7 linked regions of the Neurospora crassa OR74A genome follow. The protein of the gene in region 1 binds, or shares a complex with, the protein of each later gene. Links are inferred from orthologs where the notes say so. Each region holds a gene or a part of one and is shown in the gene's direction. Other genes may lie near its edges. The genes, in order: NCU03827, NCU02951, NCU07386, NCU05717, NCU08728, NCU06542 and NCU01761.

What was found.
Region 2: NCU03827 (region 1) and NCU02951 share a complex: the UniProt entries of both Saccharomyces cerevisiae proteins name them as parts of the mitochondrial small ribosomal subunit. The link is inferred for Neurospora crassa OR74A from reciprocal best matches to the Saccharomyces cerevisiae genes MRPS9 and MRPS8.
Region 3: NCU03827 (region 1) and NCU07386 share a complex: the UniProt entries of both Saccharomyces cerevisiae proteins name them as parts of the mitochondrial small ribosomal subunit. The link is inferred for Neurospora crassa OR74A from reciprocal best matches to the Saccharomyces cerevisiae genes MRPS9 and RSM26.
Region 4: NCU03827 (region 1) and NCU05717 share a complex: the UniProt entries of both Saccharomyces cerevisiae proteins name them as parts of the mitochondrial small ribosomal subunit. The link is inferred for Neurospora crassa OR74A from reciprocal best matches to the Saccharomyces cerevisiae genes MRPS9 and MRP17.
Region 5: NCU03827 (region 1) and NCU08728 share a complex: the UniProt entries of both Saccharomyces cerevisiae proteins name them as parts of the mitochondrial small ribosomal subunit. The link is inferred for Neurospora crassa OR74A from reciprocal best matches to the Saccharomyces cerevisiae genes MRPS9 and RSM19.
Region 6: NCU03827 (region 1) and NCU06542 share a complex: the UniProt entries of both Saccharomyces cerevisiae proteins name them as parts of the mitochondrial small ribosomal subunit. The link is inferred for Neurospora crassa OR74A from reciprocal best matches to the Saccharomyces cerevisiae genes MRPS9 and MRPS12.
Region 7: NCU03827 (region 1) and NCU01761 share a complex: the UniProt entries of both Saccharomyces cerevisiae proteins name them as parts of the mitochondrial small ribosomal subunit. The link is inferred for Neurospora crassa OR74A from reciprocal best matches to the Saccharomyces cerevisiae genes MRPS9 and RSM27.

What each region holds. Positions count from the first base shown.
Region 1 is NC_026505.1:2,536,283-2,540,549, forward strand, and holds NCU03827 (mitochondrial 37S ribosomal protein MRPS9), read left to right. Parts: upstream 1-1,315; 5' UTR 1,316-1,947; coding exon 1,948-2,803; intron 2,804-2,930; coding exon 2,931-3,022; 3' UTR 3,023-3,885; downstream 3,886-4,267. Other genes in the region: NCU03826 (elongation factor 1 gamma domain-containing protein), read right to left, coding at 1-398, 456-504, 773-959, 1,055-1,084. UniProt on the Saccharomyces cerevisiae protein: Component of the mitochondrial ribosome (mitoribosome), a dedicated translation machinery responsible for the synthesis of mitochondrial genome-encoded proteins, including at least some of the essential transmembrane subunits of the mitochondrial respiratory chain.
Region 2 is NC_026501.1:8,605,700-8,609,538, reverse strand, and holds NCU02951 (mitochondrial 37S ribosomal protein MRPS8), read left to right. Parts: upstream 1-1,506; 5' UTR 1,507-1,941; intron 1,942-2,037; 5' UTR 2,038-2,297; coding exon 2,298-2,783; 3' UTR 2,784-3,236; downstream 3,237-3,839. Other genes in the region: NCU02950 (hypothetical protein), read right to left, coding at 1-558, 626-792, 870-907; NCU02952 (hypothetical protein), read right to left, coding at 3,500-3,839. UniProt on the Saccharomyces cerevisiae protein: Component of the mitochondrial ribosome (mitoribosome), a dedicated translation machinery responsible for the synthesis of mitochondrial genome-encoded proteins, including at least some of the essential transmembrane subunits of the mitochondrial respiratory chain.
Region 3 is NC_026501.1:6,129,492-6,133,331, reverse strand, and holds NCU07386 (Fe superoxide dismutase), read left to right. Parts: upstream 1-1,259; 5' UTR 1,260-1,529; coding exon 1,530-1,791; intron 1,792-2,172; coding exon 2,173-2,843; 3' UTR 2,844-3,304; downstream 3,305-3,840. Other genes in the region: NCU07385 (hypothetical protein), read left to right, coding at 1-736. UniProt on the Saccharomyces cerevisiae protein: Component of the mitochondrial ribosome (mitoribosome), a dedicated translation machinery responsible for the synthesis of mitochondrial genome-encoded proteins, including at least some of the essential transmembrane subunits of the mitochondrial respiratory chain.
Region 4 is NC_026503.1:614,196-618,001, forward strand, and holds NCU05717 (mitochondrial 37S ribosomal protein YmS16), read left to right. Parts: upstream 1-1,513; 5' UTR 1,514-1,775; coding exon 1,776-1,799; intron 1,800-1,935; coding exon 1,936-1,967; intron 1,968-2,229; coding exon 2,230-2,527; 3' UTR 2,528-3,226; downstream 3,227-3,806. Other genes in the region: NCU05716 (hypothetical protein), read left to right, coding at 18-91, 144-832. UniProt on the Saccharomyces cerevisiae protein: Component of the mitochondrial ribosome (mitoribosome), a dedicated translation machinery responsible for the synthesis of mitochondrial genome-encoded proteins, including at least some of the essential transmembrane subunits of the mitochondrial respiratory chain.
Region 5 is NC_026502.1:3,811,515-3,815,097, forward strand, and holds NCU08728 (mitochondrial 37S ribosomal protein RSM19), read left to right. Parts: upstream 1-1,177; 5' UTR 1,178-1,556; coding exon 1,557-1,599; intron 1,600-1,699; coding exon 1,700-1,715; intron 1,716-2,016; coding exon 2,017-2,196; intron 2,197-2,658; coding exon 2,659-2,695; 3' UTR 2,696-2,947; downstream 2,948-3,583. Other genes in the region: NCU08729 (transcription initiation factor TFIID 23-30kDa subunit), read right to left, coding at 3,479-3,583. UniProt on the Saccharomyces cerevisiae protein: Component of the mitochondrial ribosome (mitoribosome), a dedicated translation machinery responsible for the synthesis of mitochondrial genome-encoded proteins, including at least some of the essential transmembrane subunits of the mitochondrial respiratory chain.
Region 6 is NC_026504.1:1,584,351-1,587,615, reverse strand, and holds NCU06542 (putative mitochondrial 37S ribosomal protein MRPS12), read left to right. Parts: upstream 1-1,619; 5' UTR 1,620-1,762; coding exon 1,763-1,918; intron 1,919-2,073; coding exon 2,074-2,367; intron 2,368-2,501; coding exon 2,502-2,576; 3' UTR 2,577-2,757; downstream 2,758-3,265. Other genes in the region: NCU06543 (acyl-CoA dehydrogenase), read right to left, coding at 1-237, 337-428; NCU06541 (alpha-1,2 mannosyltransferase KTR1), read right to left, coding at 3,220-3,265. UniProt on the Saccharomyces cerevisiae protein: Component of the mitochondrial ribosome (mitoribosome), a dedicated translation machinery responsible for the synthesis of mitochondrial genome-encoded proteins, including at least some of the essential transmembrane subunits of the mitochondrial respiratory chain.
Region 7 is NC_026502.1:2,520,264-2,524,458, forward strand, and holds NCU01761 (hypothetical protein), read left to right. Parts: upstream 1-1,490; 5' UTR 1,491-1,694; coding exon 1,695-1,733; intron 1,734-1,790; coding exon 1,791-1,999; intron 2,000-2,063; coding exon 2,064-2,122; intron 2,123-2,184; coding exon 2,185-2,204; 3' UTR 2,205-2,743; intron 2,744-2,835; 3' UTR 2,836-3,609; downstream 3,610-4,195. Other genes in the region: NCU01762 (nucleolar RNAse III), read right to left, coding at 170-1,228; NCU01760 (pumilio-family RNA binding repeat protein), read left to right, coding at 4,031-4,159. UniProt on the Saccharomyces cerevisiae protein: Component of the mitochondrial ribosome (mitoribosome), a dedicated translation machinery responsible for the synthesis of mitochondrial genome-encoded proteins, including at least some of the essential transmembrane subunits of the mitochondrial respiratory chain.

The sequences.
Region 1 (4,267 bases):
CAGCCTTCTTGGGGGCGACGTTGGTCAACTTGGGGGTATCAAGGAGAGCGAAGGGAGGAGCAACGGCCGAGTAGATGGGCTGGTTGTAGACAGTGGTGTACCAACGGGTGACGTTGGGGTACTGCTCGCGCCAGGCCTTGTCGAAGAAGAACTCGAAGCCGCGGGCAATGATGCCAGTGGCGAAGAGATCGGCAAGGGTGATGCGCTCGCCAACGAGGAAGGTGTTGTTCTTGAGGTGGGCCTCGGCGACAGAGATGGCCTTGAGGGCAGTAGCCTGAGCGTCCTCAACAGCCTTCTTGTTGTAGGGAGCCTTGCCAAGGAGAGGGCGGTACCAGCCAGCAAGAGGGGGAAGGACCTCGGTGTTGAAGAAAGAGAGCCACTTCAGGATGGAGGCATAGCTGAACCACGCGTTAGCAAGTGATTGCACAGGTTTGGATGCTCGATCATAAACTTACTCCTGCTTGGTCTTGCCGAGGAGAGTGGTCTTCTCGTTCTGGGAAGCGACTGTTGTCCGTTAGCCATGACTGTCCAATCAAGATACGTGGCAATTGCAGGAGGACAAAGAGTGAGTTCGACAGTCAGAAGTTAGAACCAAGTCAACACCGTATTTCAGATAGGGATAACTGTTTGAAAAATGTCTCGGTCATCAGGTCGAAGGGGCAAGGGGTTGTGCGCTAGCACATCAGAGGGTATCTGGCGCAAAGTTGATGCGTGTTTCAAAGTGCGGGGCAGGGCAGTCTTGCTTGACGCCCAACATATTCTGTCAACGTACCATAGATGGCGATGGCGATGCACTCGAAGAGAGTGTAGCCGTCGGCACCAACGAAGGTGGGGACCTTGCCGAGAGGGTTGACCTTCTTGTACTCCTCGATGGCAGCCTCAAGGTCGACCTTGATAACCTCGAGGTCGAGGTTGTTGGCCTTCGCGACAGCCAAGATGGCCGTGGAGCGGGGGTTCGCCTAGTGAGCAGAATCTGTTAGAATGTCGGCGCTCGTCCGCAGGCGCCCGCCGTGTCAAGACGAGCGCCGCAATCTCTGAATTCTGCTCATCTTACCTCGTAGGTGTAAAGCTTTCCGAAGGCCATCTTTGATAATTTGATCAATGATGAGGAAAGATGGGTTTGGGAAGAAGAGGGGTGACGGGGAAGCAAATAAAAAGGGATCTGTGCGATGGATGATGTGGATGGGAAGACACAGAGGAAATTTTATCTGTGGTGGGGCATGCGCGCGGCCACGGCAGTGGCGGGGAAATTGCCTGGCTGCTGAGCCTGCATCCCGTTTTGGCGGCTGGGTTGCTTCCCCTCACATCAGAACCTCACAGCGCTGGAACTCGACAGAATGCATGAGAGAGCTCAGTACCTTAACCGCCCGCCGGCCCGTTGGCGGCTGTGGAAGGCTGCCCAGATGGGATTCCATTGATGGTACCTAGCGAGGTATGCTTTCGGCCAGTGATTCACACTTCCGCTGTCTGTGCTTTCAGTTCCCTCGTGCCATGCCTTGATGGCTGCCAGGCTTCCAGCCCATGGAAAACGGTGCCGCTTGATTGCCGGGCATCTTGTCTTATCTGCCTGCCGGGCGGAATGGTCCCCCTGTCGGGGCCGCATGCGTGGAGGGGAAGGTGACGGGAGCCCAGGTGAGGTCGGGTCCAGTGAGTGCGGTGCTTGAGTGGGAAGCATGGGTGGTCCGAGCTCCCATTTTCCGCTTGCCGGGTGGAAAAATCCTCTTGCGAATTGTTCCGCCGCGGGACGGCCCACGACGCGCAGACGGGACCCGGAGTCCGGACCTGATTGACCACTGCCCGCGCTGGACCTGCCCTCGCCCCCGACAGCCCCAAAGATACCCATCGGCGAGCCGACCACACCTCGACCCGAACCCCAATCCCACTCCTCTCCCGATCCAGTAGCCCTCGGGGCCCGATAATGTACGAGAGGTGAACAGCCGCTTATGAATGATGGCATCTCTTAGACACAGCATTACCAGTGCTCTTCGGAGCTCCCGCCAGGGCTGTTCCAAGTCGGCGCAATGGCAGTCGCTTGACCAGCAATTCGGCGCTTTGCGCATCAGCTCGAGGTCCCTGTCCACCCACGCCCACGACCACAACCCGAACGTAGATGGCCAATTCATCGCCGCCCCTGCGCTCAGCATAGACAACTTCAAACTCCATCCCTATGCCCGTGCCGTCCCCGTGTCGCCCTCGTACTTCACCCGGACGCCCCGGTTCTACGACAACTATCTTTCCCTAGAAAAGCTCATGGAGGAGTACGAAGACCTTCCTGTCATCCCCGCGACCGCCGTCGAGCGCGTGGCCTGGAAGACGCTCGAGGATATCAGGAAAGAGCTCGGCGAGCAGGTCAAGGCATCCGAGTTCGCAAGGTGTCTGGCTCTCGTCAAACGGCTCAACTCGATCCACCCCGACCTTAAGCCACAAGAGATCAAGGATGTGCTCGACAGCTTCAGGCGCAACGTACAACCCTTTACAAATGTCGCCAAGCCGATCCCGATTGACCAGTTTGGCCGCGCTTGTGGAGTCGGCAAGAGAAAGGCCTCGAGTGCTCGGGCCTTCGTGGTGGAGGGTACCGGCGAGGTTCTGGTCAACGGGAAGACCTTGGCCGAGTACTTTGGGCGGGTTCACGATCGCGAGAGCGCTGTTTGGGCTTTGCGCGCAACAAATCGCATTGACAAGTACAACGTCTGGGTCAAGGTGGAGGGTGGTGGTACCACGGGTCAGGCGGAGGCCATTACGCTGGCTATCGCAAAGGCCTTGCTGGCTCATGAGCCTGCTCTGAAGCCGGCGTTAAGAAGGGGTAAGCTTCGCACTACATTACACATGTTTTGGTTTTCTATGATTGTGCCTCGCCATACAGGCTTTCGCGGTATGGTAGGTAGGGATGATGCACCTTTGCTAACAAGTCCCTCTTTCTTTTACTGTAGCCGGATGTGTCACACGCGACCCGAGGAAGGTCGAAAGAAAGAAACACGGCCATGTCAAGGCCAGAAAGATGCCTACCTGGGTCAAGAGATAATCGCCCTCCTGCTACAGTTTGCGGTATTATTGGATGGGTTTCGTTTTTTGGGGGGGCATTGTGAATATGCTGCCTCAGTTTCGGTTTATGCACGAACGACCAGTCAAATGGAGCGATGCTTTTTTTCCCCACCAGCGCAGCATCACAGCTCCTTTCTTTCTGGGAAGCATTTTCTCTCATGTGCGTACTCTATATGTGGATATGCATGTGAGTGTCCGTCTCGCTTGTGGCCTCGCCTGGGCCTACCAAGTTCAGCACAGGTCGATCTCAGGCAAGCACGCGTGTACTTGTACAGGAGGGGTTCAACAAACCGTGTTAGGGGGGGGCCGGCACGACCTTGTTGTGTGTGTATAATACAATCTATGTGTGTGCTGGGGGGGTTACAACGGTTCTTTTTGCCATGGAAAAAAAAGGTATGCAAACCGATTCGACGCCCGGCCTCTTCAACCGGCATCACTGCAACTTTGACATGGGTTTTGCTTGTGATGGGTTGACTGATTCGTGCGACTACAAGTCATGAACCATCCGGGGGTTACATCCAATGTGTAAGAGGCATGCCGAACAACTCCCATCTCACAGATTAGGTGGGAACGATACGCACTGCAGGGCACACGTGGGTTAGCCGCGCTGTCAGAACCGCGTTTTCTGAACTTCAGATTCCGTTCCCGTGGCGGCAGAGTGCAATCCGTGTTCAGCATCCTCGCCCGAGGGCCCTGGGGGACTGTAAGGATCCTATATAAGATGGTGTTTGGTAACCATTTGTCATGCTTTATTATTGTCCCAAGTCCCACCATTCCCATTATGCTTGGCCCGTAATGAGGTCGGAATAGGTAGTCAGAGGTCCATACACTGCAGTGCTCACGTTCGCGTTCGTATATAAGTGACCTATGTAGTATGAGGTGGTCGAGAGTATGCTCCCTTTGACCTGGATTGTCATGGCAAAATCACCCAATTTGTGGATGTGATTGGTGCCAGATGAACGCATTGGGAGACTTCTGGCAGCTGATGAGACCTATGCGGTCCCGTCTCGTCTGAAATCACTACTTGATGGTGTCGATACATAACGATGGTTTTATGGAAGCTGCACAATATTTCTGCAATATGACTGGAGAGGTTGAGGATGAAGTCGTCAACAACCGGTCCACAGACACACACACACACACACACTTGGCTGTGGTGGTCTATCAGGTTGTTGTCAAGGACAAATATGCTTCTAGAAGCTGTTTCGAAGTCGGATGTGACATT
Region 2 (3,839 bases), on another chromosome or scaffold:
AGGCCAGAGTCTGGTGCAACGGGTTCACCGCGGCATCCTCTGGGGGAGGCGTCTTCTCGCGGTACCGTACGGGTTCGGCGGCAGGTGGCGCGGCTGGGTTATAGGCCATCGGAACAAATGCTTGAGGCGATGGTGTCGAGTGATCGTGGGAAGCAGACACTGCAGACATGGGCGGCGGAGCAAAAGACTGGATTGCGCCAACTTGCGGAGGCTGTGATAAAGTGGTCGGGGGTGTACCGTGGTCAGCGATTGCTGCCCTCTCGAGTTGCTGGACTACCGCGCTGACTTCGGTATCGTGCCGAGGTGGTGGTCCTGGCTCGTTGTGGACATCGCACTGGTGCGGAGGGAGCACACGTCGGATGCCATTGACGAATTGCAGAGCATCTTGATGGTTGTGAAAGTAAATGTCGAGCGAGTGAAGCTTGTAATGGTACTTGGCCTGATTGTGAGGGTCGTATGTTGGTAGATGCCACTCCTCGTAGCCCTCGACCTCGCCAACCGTCAAAGTTACAAGGCAGGTGTGGTTGTAATCGTACTCGAGATGGGTTTTGTCGAGGTCTGGCGACACATGATGTTAGCCTTCCCACTGTCGTCTCGAGCTCTCACTCTAAATCCTAATGCTTACAGCCATCGAAAGCATCCTGGTCTTCCCTTCCAGGTTGGTTCGCAATCTCCAGCCGTGCGCGGCCCAAGTTGGCATCTTCGAAAAGGTATACATAGGAGCCCTTGTCGAACCTGTGATGAGGCGGGTTATTTGTTGGAGGGCCGTAGAAGTAGTGAATATCACCAAAGCTATGCAGCGAATCAATCAGTCAGAATGCGCCCAGGAACTATCACCTCTTTATGGGATCAACGGAAGACAAACTTACAACGTGCCGACGTTCTCCTCTCCCTCACGGGCGGCCATCTTTTGTGATCAACGAACTCGCTTGAGTGAACAAACACAACAACACAACAACGGTAAAAAGGATTGAGAGAACTGAAAGACAGCAAACTTTCTCAGCTTCCCACCCGAGGGCTATCACGCCTAATATCAGAGATGACGGAACCCAAAGAAAACAAAAGCCACTCGGCTTCCGCGTCTTTGCGATAGTACCCTACCTCTTACATACCCTTGCAGGAGACCGTGGTCTGGTTCTTCACATTCGGCTCTCACTCCATGGCGCAATCAGCACACAGCCATCCAACCAGCGCGCACGATAGGTCGGTGATGCGACCCCTAGTGCCGGTAGAGGTGACCTTGCCTGGTGGTTGCATCGTCCTGGATGGTCACTGGATGGTCCGCCTGGGCGCTTAAGGTGGGATGCCAAGAAAGAAGCACGAGCAAGTCAATTGTCACACTCTCCAGTCCTTCTTTCACAATTGACGAGGAGGGAAAGGAGCGGGAGGGAAAGACAAGAAAAAAGGTGGGGTAAGCAGGATCCATCCTCAATAAACCTGGAGAGCTACCAAGAAAGCCCCACCGGACAGACACCTTCTGGTCTCTCTGGCGGAGGGACGGGAGGCCTTTCAGGGCAGCAGGGGTCTCTTTTGCAGTGACTTTCGTGCAAGGCACAGTGGAGGTCATTGCCCGAGGTCATTCACTCTTTCAACGCTCAGCCTGAGGTCTTTTCTCGAACCATCCCTGTCCGTCCTCCACACGGCCCCGGCGGCCAAGCAAACGCACGCACGCCCGCCAGCCCGTACGTAGTGCCGTACGGCAGAAGCGGACAGAGCAGCAGGGGGACAAAAAATCGGCAGCACAACTTACCTAACGGAGCCATCCCGATCGAGACCTCGAAACCGCAATTCGCATCCGGACCCCGTTGCGCGCCGCATTCGCGAGTCCCGAAACCTCCACTTGTTTTTACGGCTCCTCCGAAGTCCGAATTCCTCCATCACGACCACCGACCCGTGACGGCCACCCGACTGTGCGCAACAGCTACGGTCTCCCGATTGGTTGTGCGTTGCAATCTTCCTTTTTTTTTTTTTTTTTTTCTGTCCCGCGAATCTTCATCGGCACGCCTAGACTAACCTCAAGACGCCCCGTCGCTGCAGCACCGATTCCTCACCCGCATCATCCTTCTCTTCATCCCGCATCATCCTTCTCTTCATCCCGCAAGGTCCCCAGTTCGCCGCCGCATCTCCCGAGCACTTCTACACCGGACGGACCAAGCCATACCAGCCGATCGACCCGACGACTTACGCGACGACGGCCGACTTCTCTCTCTTTATAACCCATCACCCAGTGCATACCATTTTCTCTCTCTCTCTTCAGCAACACAAAAGTCCCACACGGGCATCATCAAACCTTCAAAATGGGCATTCAACAAATCACCAACATGTGCTCGCACCTCCAAAACGCCTCGCGCGCTCGCCTGGGCCTGACCTCCCTGCCCAACACCAAGTACAACCTCGCCCTGGCCCTGGCCCTGCACCGCGCAGGCTTCATCTCCTCCATCACGCGGGGCGGTCCTCACCCGCCCACGCCCGAGGCCCTCATGACCTACGAGCCCGAGCCCGTGACCAGTGCCAACGTGGCCACGCGCCGGTTGTGGGTGGGACTCAAGTACTGGAACGAGGAACCCGTCTTGAAGGAGCTGAAGCCGATTTCGAAGCCGTCGAGGCTGGTGACTGCCTCCCTGGAACAGCTGAACCGTGTGGCGAGGGGCTTTCCCGCGGGATACATGAAGGGGTTGCAGTTGGGCGAGTGTTTGTTTGTGAACACTGATAGAGGTGTGTTGGAGGTTAGGGAGGCAGTGGAGAGGAAAGTTGGTGGGCTGGTTTTGTGCAAGGTAAAATAGATGGGTAGAAGAAGAAGAAGGAGGAGGGTCTCAAGGATGGACGGTGGGGATAGGACATGAATTCGGTGAAAGGAAGGCATTGTTGGGAAGGAAGCGAGAGGAATAGAAGAAGAGGAGGAAGAGTCACCGCACTTTGGGAGGATCTCAAACCTGAACTGGAGCCAACCATTTCTGTGCGCAGTGTACGATACGGATGTGATTCCATTGTACACTAGACGACTTAGCAAGACTGGACAAACATGGAAAGGAATAGACATTGGCAAAGCAGAGCTCATCCTTGGTTCTTGCTATGTGAATATGAGGTATGAGGCCAAGAAAGACAACGAGCTGGCATCCTGTATGCTATGATCTATGCATGACAACTAAATCATCAGCACTCACCGTGGAAACAGATATCACCAAGATTGATAAGAAAAGGGATCGATTCATCCTGCTCCAGGGTGCTGTACAACCCACTATCTGCTATGCATTCATACTTCATGCTTCGCCAACTTTCTTACAAATGTGTGATTGGTCTTTCTACAAAGGTATCATGAAATGTGCTAACCCAGTAACACTGCATCCCCCTCTTTCACTGTCTCGAACAAGTAATAGGGGTGATTAAAAAAGACTCTACAGGCCAAAAAGCGATCACATCCACCATTTCTGGCTTCCTTTTACGAATCAGAAGTGTGCTTAAATTCCGAAGTGCTGGCAGACTTCTCCTCGCCGTGCTCCTAGATGTCAGCATCGGTGGTATCAACAACCTCGGCAGCGGACGAGGGGGCGGCTTCAGTCTCCTGGGCTGGCATCTCCTCCTTAACAACATGAACGTCAGAAGTGGGGGTTTGGGGAGCTTCCGTGGCTTCCTCTACCGGCTGAGCAACTTCTTGAGGAGTCTCCGTCACAGTGGGGAGGGGCACCTCAACAGCTTCTTCTGCCTTGGGAACCGGCTCAGCCTTGGCCGCAGCTGAACCAGCACGAGACTGTTTCGGTGTCGTAGCCGCAGATGGTGCTGCAGATTTAGTGGCAGGTTTTTTGGTCCGTGGCTTGCTGAGACTTCTCTTCGCGGCAGGT
Region 3 (3,840 bases), on another chromosome or scaffold:
ACCAGTTGCCCAAGTATCCGTCCAAGCTGAACCGGTTGAAGAGGATGACGACGATGATTACTGGGGCCGATACGATGCCACGCCTTCCCAAACTCCCGGTCAAGGCCGCTCTCCTGCGCCGCCGTCCTTGGGCGCCGGCCTCAACACTCAAAAACCCCATCCCTTTGAGCGTAGTCCGTCCGCCGAAGATGCGTACTTCGCCCAATACGAATCCGTACAGCCAGCCATGGACCCCCATGATCCAGACGAGGAGGCCTTCCAGGGCGGAGCTGTGGGGGGTGGTGCACCGCTTAATGGTCTCCCCCTTCGCAGGTCTCCGTCGCCAAGACAACAGGCATATGAGCCGCCTGTCATCAAGTCCGCACCAGCGCCGCCGCCATTGGGCCTAAACGGAGACGGCAACGGCGGTTACGTTCCATCCCGATCACCCTCTGATAAGTCCGGTTCTGACTCAAGTGGCCGGCGCATGTCCCAGGCGGACGAGGAGAGGATGGAAAGCCTTGCTCATCCGCGCCCAGCCAGTAGCGCCAGCTCAAACGGATCCCGCATGGTGGCCAAGCTCGAAGAAACGGCGGAAGCGCAAGATCGAGTCGAGTTTGGAGTTAAGCAGCACGTCTCAAGGACGATTCGAAGTCTATTCCAGCTGTCACGCGGCGCTGGCATCAGTCGTGAAGAGTTCGAGCGGATGGTCAGGAACGAGCTTGATGTTCTTGCGATGGTGGAGGACGACGTTTGAATGACCAGGGAAGGAAGGGAAATTGATTCAAAGGGGGTGTCGGTGTTCACTGTTTATATTCCTCATTCTGTTCGGGATACTGCATCATCGGGTCGTTTTTGGCGTCAAGTAGTACTGGTGGGGGAAGTCCGGTGAGGGCGTCCAGTTCGCCTCGTGATTATTGTTAGTTGTTCGGACTTCGAGCAACGGCGTCCACGGAATTATTTTACAATAGCGTTACAGAATATCGGTCAAAGTACGATAATGAACATAGCACATACACGAGCAAAGTAGAGAAAGATGCCCAGTATCTGTGCACCAGTACATCATCGAAACGGTTGAAGACGCAAGTCAATGTGAACGCCAAGTACGGAACTCCGGAATTGGCAAACAGCTACCCCACCAAGGACGGTAGGTACCTCTCAATAACATCCAGGGTTAGGGTCAAACCTGGCTCTTTGCGAGGACGGTGAGGCTGCCGGCCGCCAGTTCGTCCCAACGATTGGTCCCTGCTCCAATGGCCGGGTCCTTCCGCAGCGGAGCAAAAAAAGTCTCGAAAGTCGCGTCCCACTTCGACCGTCTTCCGGGGTTGAGTGCCCGTGTGTTCTGAAGTGCGTCCGCTCTGCGCCGGCAGCCCGTCCAGTCTTGAAGTTGTCTCCGTCCGTCCTCAAGGTCCGCCCCCCACACACACTGTCCACCGTCCATCTCCCCCGACCGAACGACCGGCCGACCTTCCCTTCCACCGAACCTTTCCTCCGACCCCCGGGCCGTTTTCTTGCGGAGAAAGAGACCAAAAAAAACCCCAACAGACAAAATGATCGGCTCCATGGGTCTAAGGATACCCCGTGCGACAAGCTCGCTCCTCGGCCGTGCCGTCAACGCTGTCGCCACCAACCAGTCCGCCGTCGCCGGCGCCAGCATCGCCGCTCAAAGGAGATGGCAGCACTACCTCATGCCGCTTCGCGACAACTTCGAGCAAGAGGGCATCCGCAACTTCCTCAGCCCCGGCTCCGTCAACATGGCCTATACCGAGTACCAGACCTTCATTTTGGAGAAGCTTAACGCGCTTGTAGTAGGTACGTACGGATGACACAGCAACACAGAACATACTCGTCTGGGGAATTTGGTGTCGCTGCGTTATCATGTGGCACGGCATAGCACGGCATGGCATGGATGAAGGTTACGTGCGAGGATTACTGGCTGCGAGGAATTGGTATCCTTTGGTCGAAAACGCCAAGCTGGGATGCTGTTAAGCCTGAGAGGAAGAGGAGGCATTAGCGCAGTGGTTAGGCCACAAAGGAATTGGTGGAGGAAATAGAAGGAAGGGGACTCGGATTGAAGCTCAAGCCAGAGCATGCCCTGCCTATCCGGGGGGGAAGACATGATGTCACCTATTTTGCTGCATGGGAGATATCTAACCGACAAACCACTTTGCTTACTTCTCTTTCGTCAAACAGGCACCGACTTTGAGCAAAAAGACACCAAGTCCATCGTCCTCGCCACCGCACGCGACCCCGAGCTCGCCCATGTGTTCAACCACGCCTCCATGGCGCACAACAACCACTTCTTCTTCGACCACCTGTCCCCGGTCCCCGTCAAGATGGGCGACAAGCTATTTTACCACATCAACGAGAACTTCGGCTCCGTCGACACGCTCCGCGACGAGATGATCGGCACCGCCGTCTCCATGTTCGGTCCCGGTTTCGTCTGGCTCGTCCGCACCCAGCTTCCCGGTCAGCCCGTCGCCCTCCGCGTCATGGCCACCTACTTGGCTGGTTCTCCTTACCCGGGCGCCCACTGGCGCCGCCAGGAGATGGACGCCCAGACTTCCATCGGGAGCTCCCCCCAGGGCTTGAGCAACGGCCAGCGCTTCTTCGAGCGCAGCGCAGCTGGGTTCAAGGGCAACAAGCTTGAACCTACGGCTCCCGGCGGCACTGATTTGATTCCGATCTTGTGCCTCAACACGTGGGAGTACGCGTGGCTTCGCGAATACGGAACTGGTGTGGGTGGTATGGGTGGTAAGCTGGCGTATGCGCAGAGCTGGTGGAACATGATTGATTGGGCCAAGGTCGAGGAGGAGGCCAGGCTGGAGACTAGGATCTTGACGGGCGGTGATAGCTCTGTTTAGCCTCTTGCTTCCATTCTGCGGGGGAAGAGGAGGGAGGAGTGAGGAGGAATTGAAGTAGGAAGTGAAGCGGGAGCGTGAAAGCTTAAGCCTCGACTTTTTGGTTCTGAATTACTCGCGACTACTGGTCCATCAGTCCATGCCTGCCGCCGCCATCGACAGTCCGACGGCTGTCACCTTGTCCGAGGGGTAGAAAGAGCGAGTGGAACGGGATGGAGATGGATTATTGTACGGTTGCTGCCCAAGTTACTTCTGTGACTTTGTCTGTCTATATGGAACCCGGATATATAGGGAAAAGTTGTTCTGTACGATAGGATAGCATGACGGTGAGACCGGCCGGAAAAAGAGAAAGGAAAGTAAAAACCAAGCCAGCCCCGGCAGCTGCCATCTATACTTTTACATGTGTATATTACCAATGAACCAAATGTGTGTGTGTGTGTGAAAGAGGAAAGCAGGATAACGGCAACGAAGCAACAAACGGATAGGTCAAATGCAAATTGTAAATATAGCACTTTGAAAGATGGACGCACATTGTGACATCGACATCCAACCTTCTCTGCTTACTTGACCAAACTTTTTAGTACATCTCCTAAGGACCTCATACGGACCTACATGTCCGACTACTCCTTACTCCGCATGATGTCTGCTTCCTTCACGATATCAGCTCACTAGGTAACTACCACGACACATCAGCTGTTGAAAACATACCTGACCGCTGCCAGTTGTAGCCCTTCTACCTTTGTAGTTTCAGCCTCTGATTTCTCCTCCTTCGCAAGGCCTCAGGCTCCATGCCGAGTGATCGGTGACAAACTGAATCTTGACTATTGACTGTTAGGTTATCAGATTTGCCTGGCCGAGACCTCACTGGTTCGTTTCAGCGCGGTAGCTACTAAAAGTAGGTACGTAAACCGAGCACCGGTGAAGGACGGCAGAGTGAGTGTATCGGTGTCTCGATTGCCATGCCATGCCATGCCATGTCATGTCTCGCATTGGGACTCCG
Region 4 (3,806 bases), on another chromosome or scaffold:
CCTTACTTCGACCACAGGTATATGAATGATCGGGAAAGGAAGCGTGGCCCAGATGATGCGTTGAATCAGTTGTTCGACCGTCTGGTCGGCGGTATGTCTCTTTGCCCCTGCCTCTCATTCCCCTCGAACTAACATCGATACAGACGAGGACCGAGCAGCAGCAGGAGCCGGAAAACCCGTCGAGGCCATCGGCGCCGAAGCCGCCCAAGCCTACATCTCCTCCATGGGCGCCAATATCGAAAACGTTGAAGCTTTTGTGGTCCTTGAGATCGTCCGCGCCGACTCCATCGGCCAAATCACTCGCCAGGGTTTCGTCGAGGGGTGGTCCTCCATCTACCTCGACCACCGCATTCCCGCAGACCCGGCCCACCACAGAAACTACGTCCGGATGTGCATCCAAAACCTGCCTCAAAATCCGGCCTACTTCAAAAAAGTCTACCAGTTCGCTTTTGGCCTGGGTAAGGAACCTGCCCAAAAGGCACTGGAGAAGGACGTTGCCTTGGTATTCTGGGATTTGTTTTTGGGCACCGAGTCTTCAGATACAGGACTAGGACCGAGGCCGTGGAAGAGCAAGAACGTGGATTGGCTGGGTGCGTGGAAGCGGTTTTTGGCGGAGAAGTGGACGAGGAGCGTCAACAAGGATATGTGGAACCAGACGCTGGCGTTTGCGGAGAAGACGATGGTGGATGAGACGCTCGGGTTCTGGAACGAAGACCAGGCGTGGCCGGGCGTGATTGACGATTTTGTGCTTTGGTGCAGGGAGCAGGGGATTGCCAAGGCGCCTGCACCGGGGGCAGCAGGAGGGGAGGGGATGGATGTTGAGGATTATTAGAAAGTTGGTCATGAGCATCCGGGGAAGGAGTGTAAAGGATGAAGTCAAGTGGGTGGATGTGGTTATACGGGGGGGAGCATATGAGGATGTTGGTGAGGACTCTTTCGCCTTGGCGCAGGGAGGATAAGAGGGGCAAAGAAGAGAAGCACTGATGGTCATGCTGTTGCCAGTTGATGCTGGGAGGGCTTTCGGGGCTCTCATGGCGGTTATCATCTTGTTGAGGTTGCTGCCATGGTGGTCAAGCGGCGCATCGAAAGATCAGAGGTTGGTTCGCAAAGAGCAAAGAATACATTTACACAGCGCATTTCCAGATACACAATACCGATAAGAGCATGCATTTACAACATGAAGGCCATTCAAAGGTGTATGAAGCGGTTGGGAATGTTTTTAGAACAAGTCTGATTTCTCATTGCTTCTAGACCACATTATAACCCTTTAGGAACTTTTAAAACAGCTTTTCTGGAGGACCATTACACCCAACAGATGTCTCTACAATCACCGAGGTGACAGCTGAAGAGTCGAGTAAACAACCTCTCTCCCACCCACCCTTGATGAAGTGTGTACACCCCTATCCGGAAGGCGGTCAACGCGGCAGAATCTCGACCTTCTTCCTGGACCCCACAAAAATTTCCAAGCAAGCGGCGGCACCCGGACGCCCACTCGCAACCAACCCGCTGCGGCACTGCGGCAATGCGGCACTGCTGACGGCAACACCCACCACACCCTACAGTACTTGCTGAGCCCGGTCACAACAGCAGCCACAGCGGTACCTACTGTGGGGCTCCGAACTTCTTATCGACGTCCAAGGTTCACTAGGTAGTACTATACGCGCTTTCGGCCGGTCGCAATCGCATCGCATCGCATCGCGAAACTAAACTTCTTTTTGCGTTCGTTTCTTTCCCCGAACCGATTGCCCGCCGCCCAGCCCAAACTACCAGACAGGATGTTGTATGAGACTATTGGTATTGTGAGTTACCCTAGGGTTGAACTACAGGAGCAGGTTAAGAGATTGGGGGTACAGAAAAGGAAAGGAAATGGAAAGGGAATGGGAGAGGAGAGAGATGGAAAGAGACAGTCTTGCTAATGATTGCACTTGTGAACAGGTCCGCCCGGGCAACATCGCCGAGGTGAAGGAGTATGTTTTTTTCCCCTTCTCTTTGTTTCCACTCGATAGTCCGTCCGACTTGAAGAAAACTCCCTCCGTCTTTCCTTTCCCTTACGAACCCGACCCGACCCGAACCGACCGATCTTTCTCTTGTCTTCTCTTCTACCACATCATCCACGACCCTACCTACCTATCACCCCGACTCCGACTCCGAACCCAACCCAACCATCCCATCCTCTACCAACCTTCCACACCTCGTCGTACTAAACAAGAACCAATAAAAAAAAAACAGACTCGTCCTAACAGCCGGCAAACTCATCCTCAACCAAGGCGGCGTCATCCGCGACATCAAGAACTGGGGCACGTTCCTGCTGCCCCGTCCCATCTCCACCAACCAGCAGCGCCATAACCGGGGCCACTACTTTGTCATGCGGTACGACGCCAGCATCGCGACGCACGAAGAAGTCCGACGCACCATGAAGGCCGACCCGCGCGTGATCCGCACGGCGAACGTGAAGTTGGGCGATGGCAAGCTGGAGACGCTGTCGAGGTTTGGGGCGATTCCTTGGAGGAGTTTAGAGGAGGCGTAAATCTGTATCTTCTGGACGGAGAGCAAAAGAGGGGGCGGGTGGGGGGGGAATGTGTACGATGGATGGACAGATGGATGGGAAATAATGAATCGAGTCGAATCGAATCGACATATATCCATCCCATCTCCTTACCGGCTTGTGTATACCAAAAGGGCCGTGATGAAGCAGACCGGACAACATATATGGACGGATGGATGGCAGGCATCTTTATACCTTCTTACCTCCGTCGACAGCAACAATAAAAACGACCGAAACACCCACCAATAACGATCTGGGCCTTCGATGAGCAATGGTACATCGTGAACGCACGACACCTGGATAGCAACATGGGATACATACATACAGACAGGCAGCATACGTATCCGAAATCTTCATTGCGAATGGGTTGCGGAACCATCCATACCCACTCAGGTTGAAGGAAGGAGGAACCTGACTCCTTTTCGACCCCGTTAATGGATCACCGTCGTCGATCAAGAAGTTCTGGCGTGAATTAGGGTGCACTCGAAACGGTCAGAGTATCATATCAGTCAAGCCAGCTAGAGAACAAACTCCCGGACCCGTCTTTGTTCATGTACGATAACGCATGTGGAATGTGATCCGCTAAAGAATACGACGCCATATTCAGATTCCTTAAAGCAAGGTAGTTCATCGGTCCCGGCTCAACAAGGATGGCTTGGGATTAAGAAACGTCAGACACGATCATATTAAAGTTACGGGTGATCTTTGAAAACTTGACGTGAGGGCTCTTCGCTCAAACTTCATCCTCGTTTCAGTTACCACACTTGTATGCTACACTACCTCCCCTTATCAAATGTAGTTGATCGATCCTCTCGAGTTCCCAGTTAAACACTATGATATCAGTCTCGCCAACACACGGCAACACACGGCAACAGAGGCATGTTCATATCACCAAGTCAACACACATCCAGAACCGGGGCTCACTAAAGTGAGATTTAATGTAAACCATCTCTATCAATTACCTTCCACTACTTTCACTCGGCTACCTAAATAATGAATCACTCCAGTCTTCCCTCTCTCTCTCTCTCTCTCTCTCTCTCTCTTCAAAACGAAAATTTTTCAAATCCAGTCTTTCCACCCACCATACCAGCAACGCCCGGAACAAGCAAGCAGTAAACTGACCACCACCACCACCACCACCATCACCAACCCCCTTGACGCTGCGTTTGTATCCTACCACTTTATCCCGGCGTTTAGACACAAAAGACCCGGTAGTGAATGCAAGGAAGAAAAAAAAGGAAACACAAAAAAACGAACAATA
Region 5 (3,583 bases), on another chromosome or scaffold:
TGCTTGATGATGATGATGATGATGATGGAAGTTGGAACTCCATGGCTGGCTGGATAGTAAACAAATGCAGCCCTGTTCTCAGGTGGCTCGCGGGAAGAACGAATGCGGTGCCCTTCTCGGACTTTGCGCGCAGACTGGTGAACCGATCAAATGTTGATCAGACCGACCAGAGGGAGGGGGGGCATTCGTCTGAGGGCATCGACGATGCAAGCACACCCACAAATGCGCAAAACAAAAAAAAAAGAGTGACGGATGGTGAAATCCAAAAAGAAGGTCGTTGTGAACGCGAACGGGAAACCACGGCCAGATAGATATATTGACTGCGGTGGCGCTCTTGCCTAGACGAAGAATCCATGACGGCCCAGTCCATGCCCAGGCAAGGCAAGGCAAGGCACAGCACGGCAGTTCACGCCTGCCTTAAACTACCTACACTACGTCCTACATTGATGTACAAACATCATACATACTGTAGTGGTGGCGAGGTGTATGGAACTTGAAATGCTGAGGAAGGAGCAACACTGAAGAAGACGGAGTGCACGATCGATGTGAACCACTGAGCTGCAGTCAGGAATCGACGGACGCACGCCGGTTATCGGCCACCACCAAGAATGCCAATAGTCCGGAATCCGGGATGCTATGTTTTGGAGTATCGCAGTCGCGTTAGTCCTGAACCAATTGACGGCAGCACGGGCAGCAAGTGTCTGAGAGTGCCAACCAGTGCCGCCGGTTTGCTAAACGGTATGTAAGTCATATAATACTTGCTGTATCCTAGTTCGAGTAACACCAAGATTTCGGCCCCAAGTGCTGCTCGAGCAGGGGGGCTTGCCAGTACAGGGGTAGGTACCTGTAGGGTGTGGTGCACGAGTCACACCACCATAGCATTAGATTCAGCAGTATCGTGCATAGATTTTCTTCTTCTTGCGCACCCAAGAAATGCACGATAACACAAATTGGATGCTAATTGATCTTTGCCATCAGGTAGACCCCGCTTTCTCTGCTCACTAAGCAAGTGCCGTTTGACTGAAGATTTCCGTACCTCTCCACTGCAGGGTTGACATCCATCTGTATATTGACGGTAGGTTACCTTGACAAAAAGAGGTGTTTAGAGGGTTATCATCGTAGTGTAATTATGGGGGCGTTGCTTTTAGATATCGATAGACAGGGTTACCCGTGCAGGGGTTTTTGCTGTATCGATAATCGCTTTGATGAATGCCCCCTAACCCTGTAGAAGTACCTACTGCGTACATAGGTAGCCAGGGGGGAGAGTCAGCGGGGGCGTCCGTACTAGGTATGCCGGCCGGCAACCGATAAGCTTGGCAGTTCCAAAATTCGGCCGTGGTCAGCGCTCCCGTCACTGCCGCCGTCGCCGTGATACCTGGAACCGCTCCGCCCGCCCGCCTGCCGGACTCGCCGACTGACTGACCGACCGACCGACCGACCGACCGACCGACCGATTGATCTCAAGACCATCCGAGTGTCGCGTACGCGCCCGGCCTCTTCCCGCTATTTGCAGCCACCACCCATCACCACCGAATTCCTTCTCGTTCGCGCCCAACATGCAGCCAACAAGGGTTCTTTTCAAGAGATCCGTGTGGAAGGGTAAGTTATTTTGTTTTGTCTCCTCCTAAGCTTCACCTTGCGATAATGTACTCTTTGCGCCGTCCAAGACAGTCAAGCTAACCCGCATCGCCGACTCCAGGTCCGCACATTGTCCCGTAAGCTCTACTACCCCTTCCCCTCGTTTCTGTCCCCGCGATCTCAATGACGACGACGACGACGACGACGACGACGACGACAATTCAATGCGCCGGCGCACTCCCGAGGACTCTCTCTCCTCCCTGCTCCCGATCAAAGCTGCCGGCGCATGTCCATCATTCTCTACGAGCCCATCCCGCGACATTCCCCTCCATCCGCGAACCAACGCAGTCCAACCGAATCCAACCGCAACGCTACAAGCATAGTCACCTATCTTGAGCGCAAACGGGCACTAACCACCAACGCATACACACAAAACAGTCTCCCCATCCAGCGCCCCGAGCCCGGCAAGAAGATCGCTCCCATCCGCACCCAGGCCCGGTCCGCCACCATCCTGCCCAACTTTGTCGGCCTCAAGTTCCAGGTACACAACGGCAAGGACTACATTGACTTGACTGTCACCGAGGAGATGGTGGGGCATAAGCTTGGAGAGTTTTCTGCGTAAGTGCTCTTTCTTTCTTTCTTTTTTTTTTTTTTTGGTTCTTTCTTCCCCTACTTTCACTAGTCTACTTTTTTCCTTTCTTTTCCTTCTTTGACTATTATTTTTCAATTTCAATATATTATTTTTTTAAAGGGTCTTTTTTTTTTCCTTTTTTTTTTTTTTTTAAGATGGCGGCGGAAATGCCATAAATGTTGGCGGTGTGGGAAAAGAAAAAAAAAAAAAAAGAATTTTCCTACACAAAATTCAATGGTCTGACACGGCATGGCCATGGCATTGGCTGGTGGCAAGCCATGAATGGCTGGACGGGCGACATGTGTTGGACGCCACCACGGGATGATGATGATCGTAGGCGGTGGTGCAGTGTGGTCAGCAGAAAACAAACAACACAAAAGACACACATTGGGCATATGGACATGAACAATTGGACCGACACTAACTGAATGGTTCAAAACCTCAAACAGTACACGCAAGCCCTTCATCTGGGGTAAGAAGAAATAGACAAACCAAACTTCGTTCGTCTCTTCAGTGATGATGATGAAGAAGAAGAAGAAAAGAGAAGAAGAAGTCGATTGATTGATGGATGCGGGTTTGACACGTTTTTTCTGTGGGCGGCGTTTATTTCGGCAAAAAACAAAAAAGCATATTTTCGTTGCTTATCTGTATCATACCATACCATTGTCAGAGGAGGGCACAGGTTTCTGTACACATATCATATTTTGGGGCAAATTAGAACTTTCGCTTGGATTCATACTACTGTGCTGTGTCTGTTGTTTCAAGATGAACATGTATATGTTGTGTAGTGTGTAGTTTAATTATGCTTTGTAATTGATAAAAATATGCTAGTATCGCCAGGTATTATTATTTTTAGCCTAGACTAGTAGTCATAACGGGTTCACTGAGAGCAAACAGGACGATGGCAATCTTCCATAACGGCGCCTCCTGAACGCCAAGCGCAAAAAAAAAAAAAAAAAAAAAAAAAAAAGGAAAAAAAAAAAGGAAAAAGAAAAGAAGACCCGATGACCCCAAACCCCTTTTGCACCGTTCCCGTGTTGGACCCTTGATTGCCGACCCTTTGCCCATCCATCCATCCATCGATGCATCATCCTCTTGATATCCTCCTCCTTGAGCAAGTAACCACTTGTTGCCGCCCCTTTAAGATAGTATCATCCTTTGGTCTGCCATGCCACCATTCCGCTCACACTCAGGCAAACCACCCACCGTTTCCCCATCCCTTCTCATCAGTAGAGCAGACAGTCCTGCACCGTGACCGTGACTGCCCCCCTAGCGATAAAACTCGCTCCTCTTCACATTAACCCCAAACTCCCCTGCCGCCATGCCCAAATCCTCCATCGTCAGCACCGTCCTATTCTGGCTGCCACCCTGTCC
Region 6 (3,265 bases), on another chromosome or scaffold:
CCGTACTCCTCGGGAATCTCGACACCCATAATACCCTGCTCGAAAAGCTGCTCGACAATGGCGGGGTCCATAGCCTCGGCCTCATCCATATCGCGGACCTTGGGAAGAATGACATCGTTGGCGAACTTCTGGACAGTCTCAGCCATGGCGGTCTCAACCTCGGAGAAGTGGGTAATGGGGGTTGGCGGCAGATCGGTTATGTCCCGGCGAGGGGAGGTGGTGGAAAGAGTGCGAGCGCTATGTCGGGAAACCAAGTATTAGCACATCGCCTTCTCCCTCTTCCAGCCCATCTCTTTTGAGACCAGACCAGGCATGAGACGAGATGACAAAACTTACCATTGGACGACGGGAGTTCTGGAGAGTCTGGGAGCGGAAACTGCCTGAGCCCTGCGGACGGCGGGACGCAAAACCCTAGTGAACGACTTCATTGTGTCTGATGCGTATGTGTGATGATTAAAGAACCGATCGGAAACCTGGCGCGAGTGCTGTCTAGGAAGAACGAAGAGGACAGAGATAATGGAAGAAAAGAAGGCGGAAAGGGTATCAAATGCTTGGGGAAGGAGAACTGGAGGTGTGATGGAACGAGCTTCGGGTACTTATAAGTCGCTGGGCACGGTACAGCGGAGCTAACACTAACGACCAGATGAAAGATGTACTTATGTAGCTCCGTAACGATGATCCGTGGAGTATTGGATGGAAGGCAACAATGACAGCGTGGGCTCAAAATAAGGTGAAGAGAGTCCCGATTTCTCTTGACCTTTGCATCGTATGCATCTCCTACACCTTCGATGTGTCTAACCTGTCACTATGCATTTGATATACAGAACAGATCATTATCGCAGAAGCCCACGCGGTATTCGAGGAGATAGGTGCGTACACCTTGATAGCAGGATACCTACGGGCAACCGGGACAAGAGCTCTACTGTTAGCTCTCTCTATCCCTCTCTCTCTCAGTAATTCAAAAGCCAAGCCAGCGGGTAACAAAGGTCAATGGCATTGGCCGGCACACGGCCGATATGCTGTGAACAGCTGGGTCAAGTGTCTCCCCCTCTGCCGAGGTAAGGTCTCCACCATTCACAAAGCTCCGAATCGGGCGGTCCTCTTAAGAGGTCATTTTCCCCACAAAGATTTCCTTGGCCGGGGTAAACGGTGGCCACGACAGGGATGCATTTGGGGGAGACACGGTAGAGACGGGACATCGGAGGAGGGGCACTCTCTCTCGAATGGACCTTGATGATGGCCGGGCACGGGGCACGGCGAGCGGTGACCATTGTTGCTAGACCGTGGATCGTGACTCGTTAATCGCGAATAGCAAACCATGGATCGTGAGCGAGAAGGGAAAACAGAGCCAGACGAGCGATAGAAATGGAATGATGAGGTGCCAACGAACGAGTTTCAGAAAACGAAGGGGAATGGAAAACAAATGCCATGTGACTGTCAGTTTGTCGAAGGCTCACAGCTAACCGATGATTGCCGCACACGACTCGGAGCTTACCCAATGGCTTCCGTCCCTCAAGCACGGCAGTAGGTACGTACCTCTGCTACCTTCTTGGCTCAGCTTATCTCCACGTGTGTCATCCCGTGACACGAAAAAAGTTCCCACACTGGTACCGCCCGCCGCCGCCGGCCCTGCGTGCGCCTGCCGGGCCCGGCCTGGGGAACCGCTATCCTGTACTGTACCGCGTCCTGTTGCGCGCCGCGACCGACCGAACTTGACGATTTCGGAGCATCCCGCCATCAGCAAGATCCACAAGATCACAAGATGGCGACGACTTTCTTGCGGAACTTGTTTTCGCAGGCGCAGCCGTCGCTGCTACGACGGCCGCTGATGCCATCGTCCTCTTCCATCCTTCCTGCTGCTGCGCGGTTGTTCTCCAGCACTCCGGCGCAGAATGCCACTCTTAACCAGGTCATGAGGGTAAGTGATGATGATGAGGCTATCCCCAACCCGCCTACCTCTACCTACCTATGCACCTATCACCACTTTGGTTCCCGTGCTACTACCACAGCCCTATGTCCCGCGTCCAATTCAATCTGATCAAAAGCTAACCACTCTTATCTTCATTCCTCCAGGGTTGCCGTAAGCCCCAACGTGCTCGCCACGCCGTCTCCCCCGCCCTGTCCTCCATCAAGTCTCCCGCGCTCAAGGGTGTATGTGTCAAAGTCGGCATCACGCGTCCCAAGAAGCCCAATTCGGGCGAACGCAAGACTGCCCGTGTCCGTCTTTCCACGGGTAAGGTCATCACGGCCTATATCCCCGGCGAGGGCCACAACATTTCGCAGCACAGCGTCGTGCTCGTGCGTGGCGGCAGAGCCCAGGATTGCCCTGGTGTGAGGTATCATCTTGTTAGAGGTGCTTTGGATTTGGTAAGTTTTTTCCTGAGAAGAAAAATCCCTAGATGGAGACCCCTGGATGGAGGATGGGAGAGAAGGAGAAAAAGGGGAAGATGAGTGTTTAGTTTGTGAAAATGATGTGCTGACAAAGAATGGTGATAAAACAGGCCGGTGTTGCTACTCGTATGTCTAGTCGTAGCAAGTACGGTACCAAGAAGCCCAAGAAGGCCTCTGTTGGTTAAGCAGCTAGCACAACAGAGCACAATTGAGATGATACCCCCCCTGGTTACATGGCAGTAGGATGATGATGATGTGATGTGAGCGTGGTGGAGGTGGTTAAGCTTCATCCATGTAGTTCATCATTCCGCATCCTAAACTATGTGTCCGTGTACTATAAGGAAATAAAAGGTGCATGACAGGATATCGGCGTCCATATTCCTTGTATTACGACTGTCGAAGACTGGCCATGTTCAAGATGATACAACACCGAAGACGAAATACTTCGGGGAAGGACGGAGACACTGGACCAACTGTGTTGCTGTCAGCTTGCCTTTTCACACCTGGCAATACCAGGGTTATCTCAGCAGTCGGTAACAACGAACCTAACCCTAAGTGATTGTGTCATGATTTCCTTAACGCCCCTTATAGCCCTTCCCTATCCATCAAAACACTCAGAACAGGCAGCTTCGTTTTTGCCCAACCTTTCCCATTTATAGGTCCATGTTTCCAGGCAATTGGGTTGTACCACCAATTGAGAACGAAAAAGTCATTATAACGATAATACATTCTAGGGAATGTCCGCTTTTGGTTTTATTTGCAGACCTGTTTTCCCAACATAAAGCCTTAATCCCCACACCCTCAGAACTGTTTCTTCTTCGCCTCCTTCTAATCCGACTGATCTTGCCAGCCTTCTGGCTTCGGAAGACCATTA
Region 7 (4,195 bases), on another chromosome or scaffold:
CCCTTGAACCCGGGTCGTTTACCCGTAGTAATGAATGGCCTAATTCATCTGCTATGCGTCCTTCTCATGGCCGACGCCCGAGGTAAACCACGAGACTACGGGCATGTGATGGTTGGTGTGTCGAAGTATTAAAGATCAGGGGCATATGAGACCGAACAGTACTTGGTCGCTACAGCACGCCGCCAGTGGTTTCCTGTGCCGAAGGCTGATCCTTCAAGGGGAACGTCACTCCTGCCTGCTGCAGCTGGGCTTCCCGCGCGGCCTTCATCTCCGCCTTCTTGTCCGCAAACTTCTTGAGCAGCTTCTTGTTATCCAAGGCCATTTGAGCTGCTTTCTGACCAGCTTCCTTCTTGCTCAAAGCACTTCCGTGCCCAAGTTGCAGGTTGGTCTCCCCCCAGCCTGTCATAAAACAGCCAATAGCGAAAAGAGGCAGCTTGGTTCCCCTGTCCTTCAGGTTTTTGGAAGGGAGATCTTTATACTCGATCTTGACACCCCTGGCTCCAATGGTAGCTTCGAGTACTGTCTTTGGGTCGAGTGTCTGGCCACTTGCGGATTGCTTTTGCTCCGGCTTCCTGGCCTTCTTCTCTTCCTCGCGGATGTACTCCGCCATGAGAGGGCCCCATAGGGCCTTGAGCCAGTCTGAAGCACGCTGAATCCCATTGGCAGGATCAGAAAGAATCACGCCTCCTACATAGGCTTCGAAAAGGTCTCCGAGAATCTTAATTCTGACTTTTTGACTTGCGTTTGTACCGCCCACTCTGCCCTCCATGTTGAATTCTTCCGGGATATCGGCCATCTTGTCCAAGCCGTAATAGACCGAGAATTCGCCTAGTGTGGTGTTGCGGATAAGCATCTCGCGACGTTGTGCGCTTTTGCCAGCCGGCAAGGTCGGGAAAGTTTGATATATGAAGGAGGAGGCGATGAGCTCAAGATAAGCGTCGCCAATCCACTCCAGCCTCTCATAACTTGCAACAGGGTCGTTGTTAGCTTTACCAGGGTGTGTGAGCGCCGCCTTTTTGAGTGCCGGGTCCAGAATGTCGGGGAGCGGTGGCCGCATTCTCTGGATGGTAGCGAGTGTCCATTTGGTATTGGCATGCAAAGAAGGAATTTGGACGGAGGTTGCGGACTCCAATGTAGCGCCTTGTGATGCGGATGGTGCAGAGTCTGACTTCGCACGCTTGGAGGGCGGTTCTGATACCTCCTCCGGGGTGGGTCCGTGTTTCGGCATGGCAAGATTGTACTTTCCTACAAGCAATCCGAATGCCTCAGATCGCGCGTTGATGCGGCGATGAAATTGTAGAGGCAGAATCGAAAACGGATTCTTCAAGATGAGAACGAATCCCGGGCCATTGCGTAGTGGAAACCCTAACCCCCTGTTCGACCCCAGATCCACATCAGGGCGCTGCTGCTGCCCTGTTATGGCCCGTAGCTGTCATTCTTAGCGCCTGTCAGCCCTGGAACGCGCCGCCCTCGGCTTCATCAGCGGGCTTGCGCTGACGGCCCGGGGACACTGCGGCTCGAAAACAACGGTTGCAGTCCGTGCCCCACTCTTTGTACCCATGAATGGTTATGATTGGTGGCGCATTGCTTGACGGGCTGGAGCGGGAGATCTCTGAACGACGTCGAACAATCCGGCGGCTCTTGTTGTTGCTGTTTCTAGAATTCGCGAATCCGCAATTCCATGTAACGGCAAGATGTCGGTCCCACGGGCGCGGTTACTGCAACTTGTGAAGGTATGGAACAGTTCCGAATGAGGGGAAAAACCAGTTCGCTAACTAGGTTATACCTAGGCTCGTTGCGAGCTCTTCTCGACGACTTTCAATCCCGAAGGCATCCGGACCGGTAACAAGATCCTGCGTCAGCGACTCAAGGGCCCGGCACTTGCGACCTACTACCCCCGCAAGAACGTCGGTATTCGCGAGCTTCAAAAGGAGTTCGGTACTCTTGGTCTCGAGGTTGACGATGAGGTCGATGATGATCGTTTGGAGCACTTGGCAGCGTTCGTCTCTCTCATTCCTGCTAGTGTTTACTTGCAAACATCACAATCTAACCATACCTTACAGTCTGAGAGCCCGCGACAAGGGAGCGCCCAAGAAGAAGAGAACGGCACCCTCGGCGGCCGGTGGGTTTCGTCTGCACCTCTTACTCACGGTTCAAATCTCTAACGTTCATATTCTGCGACAGATGCGAAGAAGAAGAAATAAGACACGGCGTCCCGAAATCAGAACTACACGACGTGTACATGTATCATATAGTGGGCGGACTAGAATCATATACCCCGAATACCTGGCGTTCCTCCGGCAGTTGGTCCATTTCGACATGCATTTTTCCGCTCAGTACTTGATGCCATCACAGTCTCCCCGTGACGAGGTGCTGCCACAACTGTACATATGGTTAGCGACGCCCGCGGCACTTGCCCCTTCAAATGGTGTTGAATAGCCGCCTAGTTCGACAAGCAGGTTTGTGGTTACCAGCTTTGTCAAAGGTTCATCTCGGGACTGTCCTCCCATGCGTCTACACAAGTCTCTTGATGCATCGAACAAAGAAGCGCCTGTTGATAAGCTGAAGATACCGTATCTTGATTCCATAGCGCGGATGGGCTTGAGGGAGGATATGACCCTTCGCCATTGTCCCTCTTTACGAACAGCTTTGATCATTTGGGTGAAAACAACAAGCGAGTGTCGGATCACCCAAGATCTTTGCACAAGCCGTCCATGTCAAAGAACGCCATGAATGTGAAAAGGTGCGCTGGCTCTTCCTGCTCCATTTCAAGCCTTTTCCAAAATAAAAATGGATAGGAAAGGAAGCTAATCACACCTACCATAATTTGCAAAGACCTTGGCATCCCAGCCCTACCGGACGAGAAAAGCCGACCCGCCACTCCTATCTGTTAATGTCCACGATGCTAGGTGATGGTGCTGTCTTGTTGAAGCTTCCAGACGTTGCATGCTTCCCTACCTACTCTACTCATTTTCATTCCGACGAAGAATGGTAGATCACACCGAATGGCAGGTGACATGAACACCTAGGTATGAATACCGCCTAATGAACTCGGAATATGTCATTGGGGCTCGGACGCCTAACCCAGAAACCCGTTGATCGTATGGGAAGTGGCAGCCGGACAGCAAGGTCCTTAACGCGGCAGGATGTCTCATCGCTGGCTCGGTTGACCATCATGCCCGACGTCCCCGCGACACGTGAAAAACTTCGGCTTGGTGATAAGGATCCCGCTAGGCACAAGGACGGGAGGCACGACGCCAAAGGCCGATGATCGTTAGCTGGAATACCGGTCGCAACTTCCCCAGCGACTCATCATATTCGATTCCGATCTTCGGATGGACGAGCCGATGTGCGTTCACTCGTCAGATCATCTGATGGCAGCCCAAGTGAGCTTTGATCACAGAGATTGCGGATTATCTCACAGGCATCGTGAACCCCTTTTTGCTTGGAGTGTCCGGGCAGTGACACCTGGGCAGTCCCGGTCACAGTTCCATCGTGCCTTCCTCCCTCGGGAGCCAAGGGTCCACCATTTCGACTTTAGTCTCGGTCATCCCGGGCTCATACCTACCCTAGAGGTACCTACCTACCTCTAGCCCTATTCTGACCGGTGCGTCCATCGTCACCAAGAGGTTTGTTGCTGTTGCCTTGCGAGAAGGTCCAACTTCAGGGCAACTGTAGCTGAAAGTACGGGTATCTCGGGCACATTTACACTCTTTCTTCCGTCCCAGACCAGCTCTTGGAGCTCTTTCTCTTTTCCCCATTATATCAACACATATTTCTAAGGCTTCTTCTCTTTCTGCATCTTCTTGTCGGTGCCATCACCAACCGTGTTCTCTCAAAAGCGGTTTGTGGTCATCTCGCCCCCAAGCTTCTATTTATCTGTGTCTTTCGTCGCCATTGGAACCAAATCTACTGCTTTTCTCTATCACCATCTTGAGCATCTCCTCCCATTGTGAAACACCAGCACCCAAAGCATCCCTCCAATCCCCTCAGGCTAGGTCATTCAACATCCAGCCCTCAGCAGACGACCATGTCTGCCGTCGCAGCATCCACCGGCTCGCCCAACGAGCGCCGTGCTTCGGCTTCCAGGAGTTTCTCGCAGTCTCAGGACGAGAACACGAAGCTTCCCGATGAGTTGATGTCTCCCAACTTGCAGCAGGTATGTATTCTAGTTGTATGTTACGTATTCAGTTGC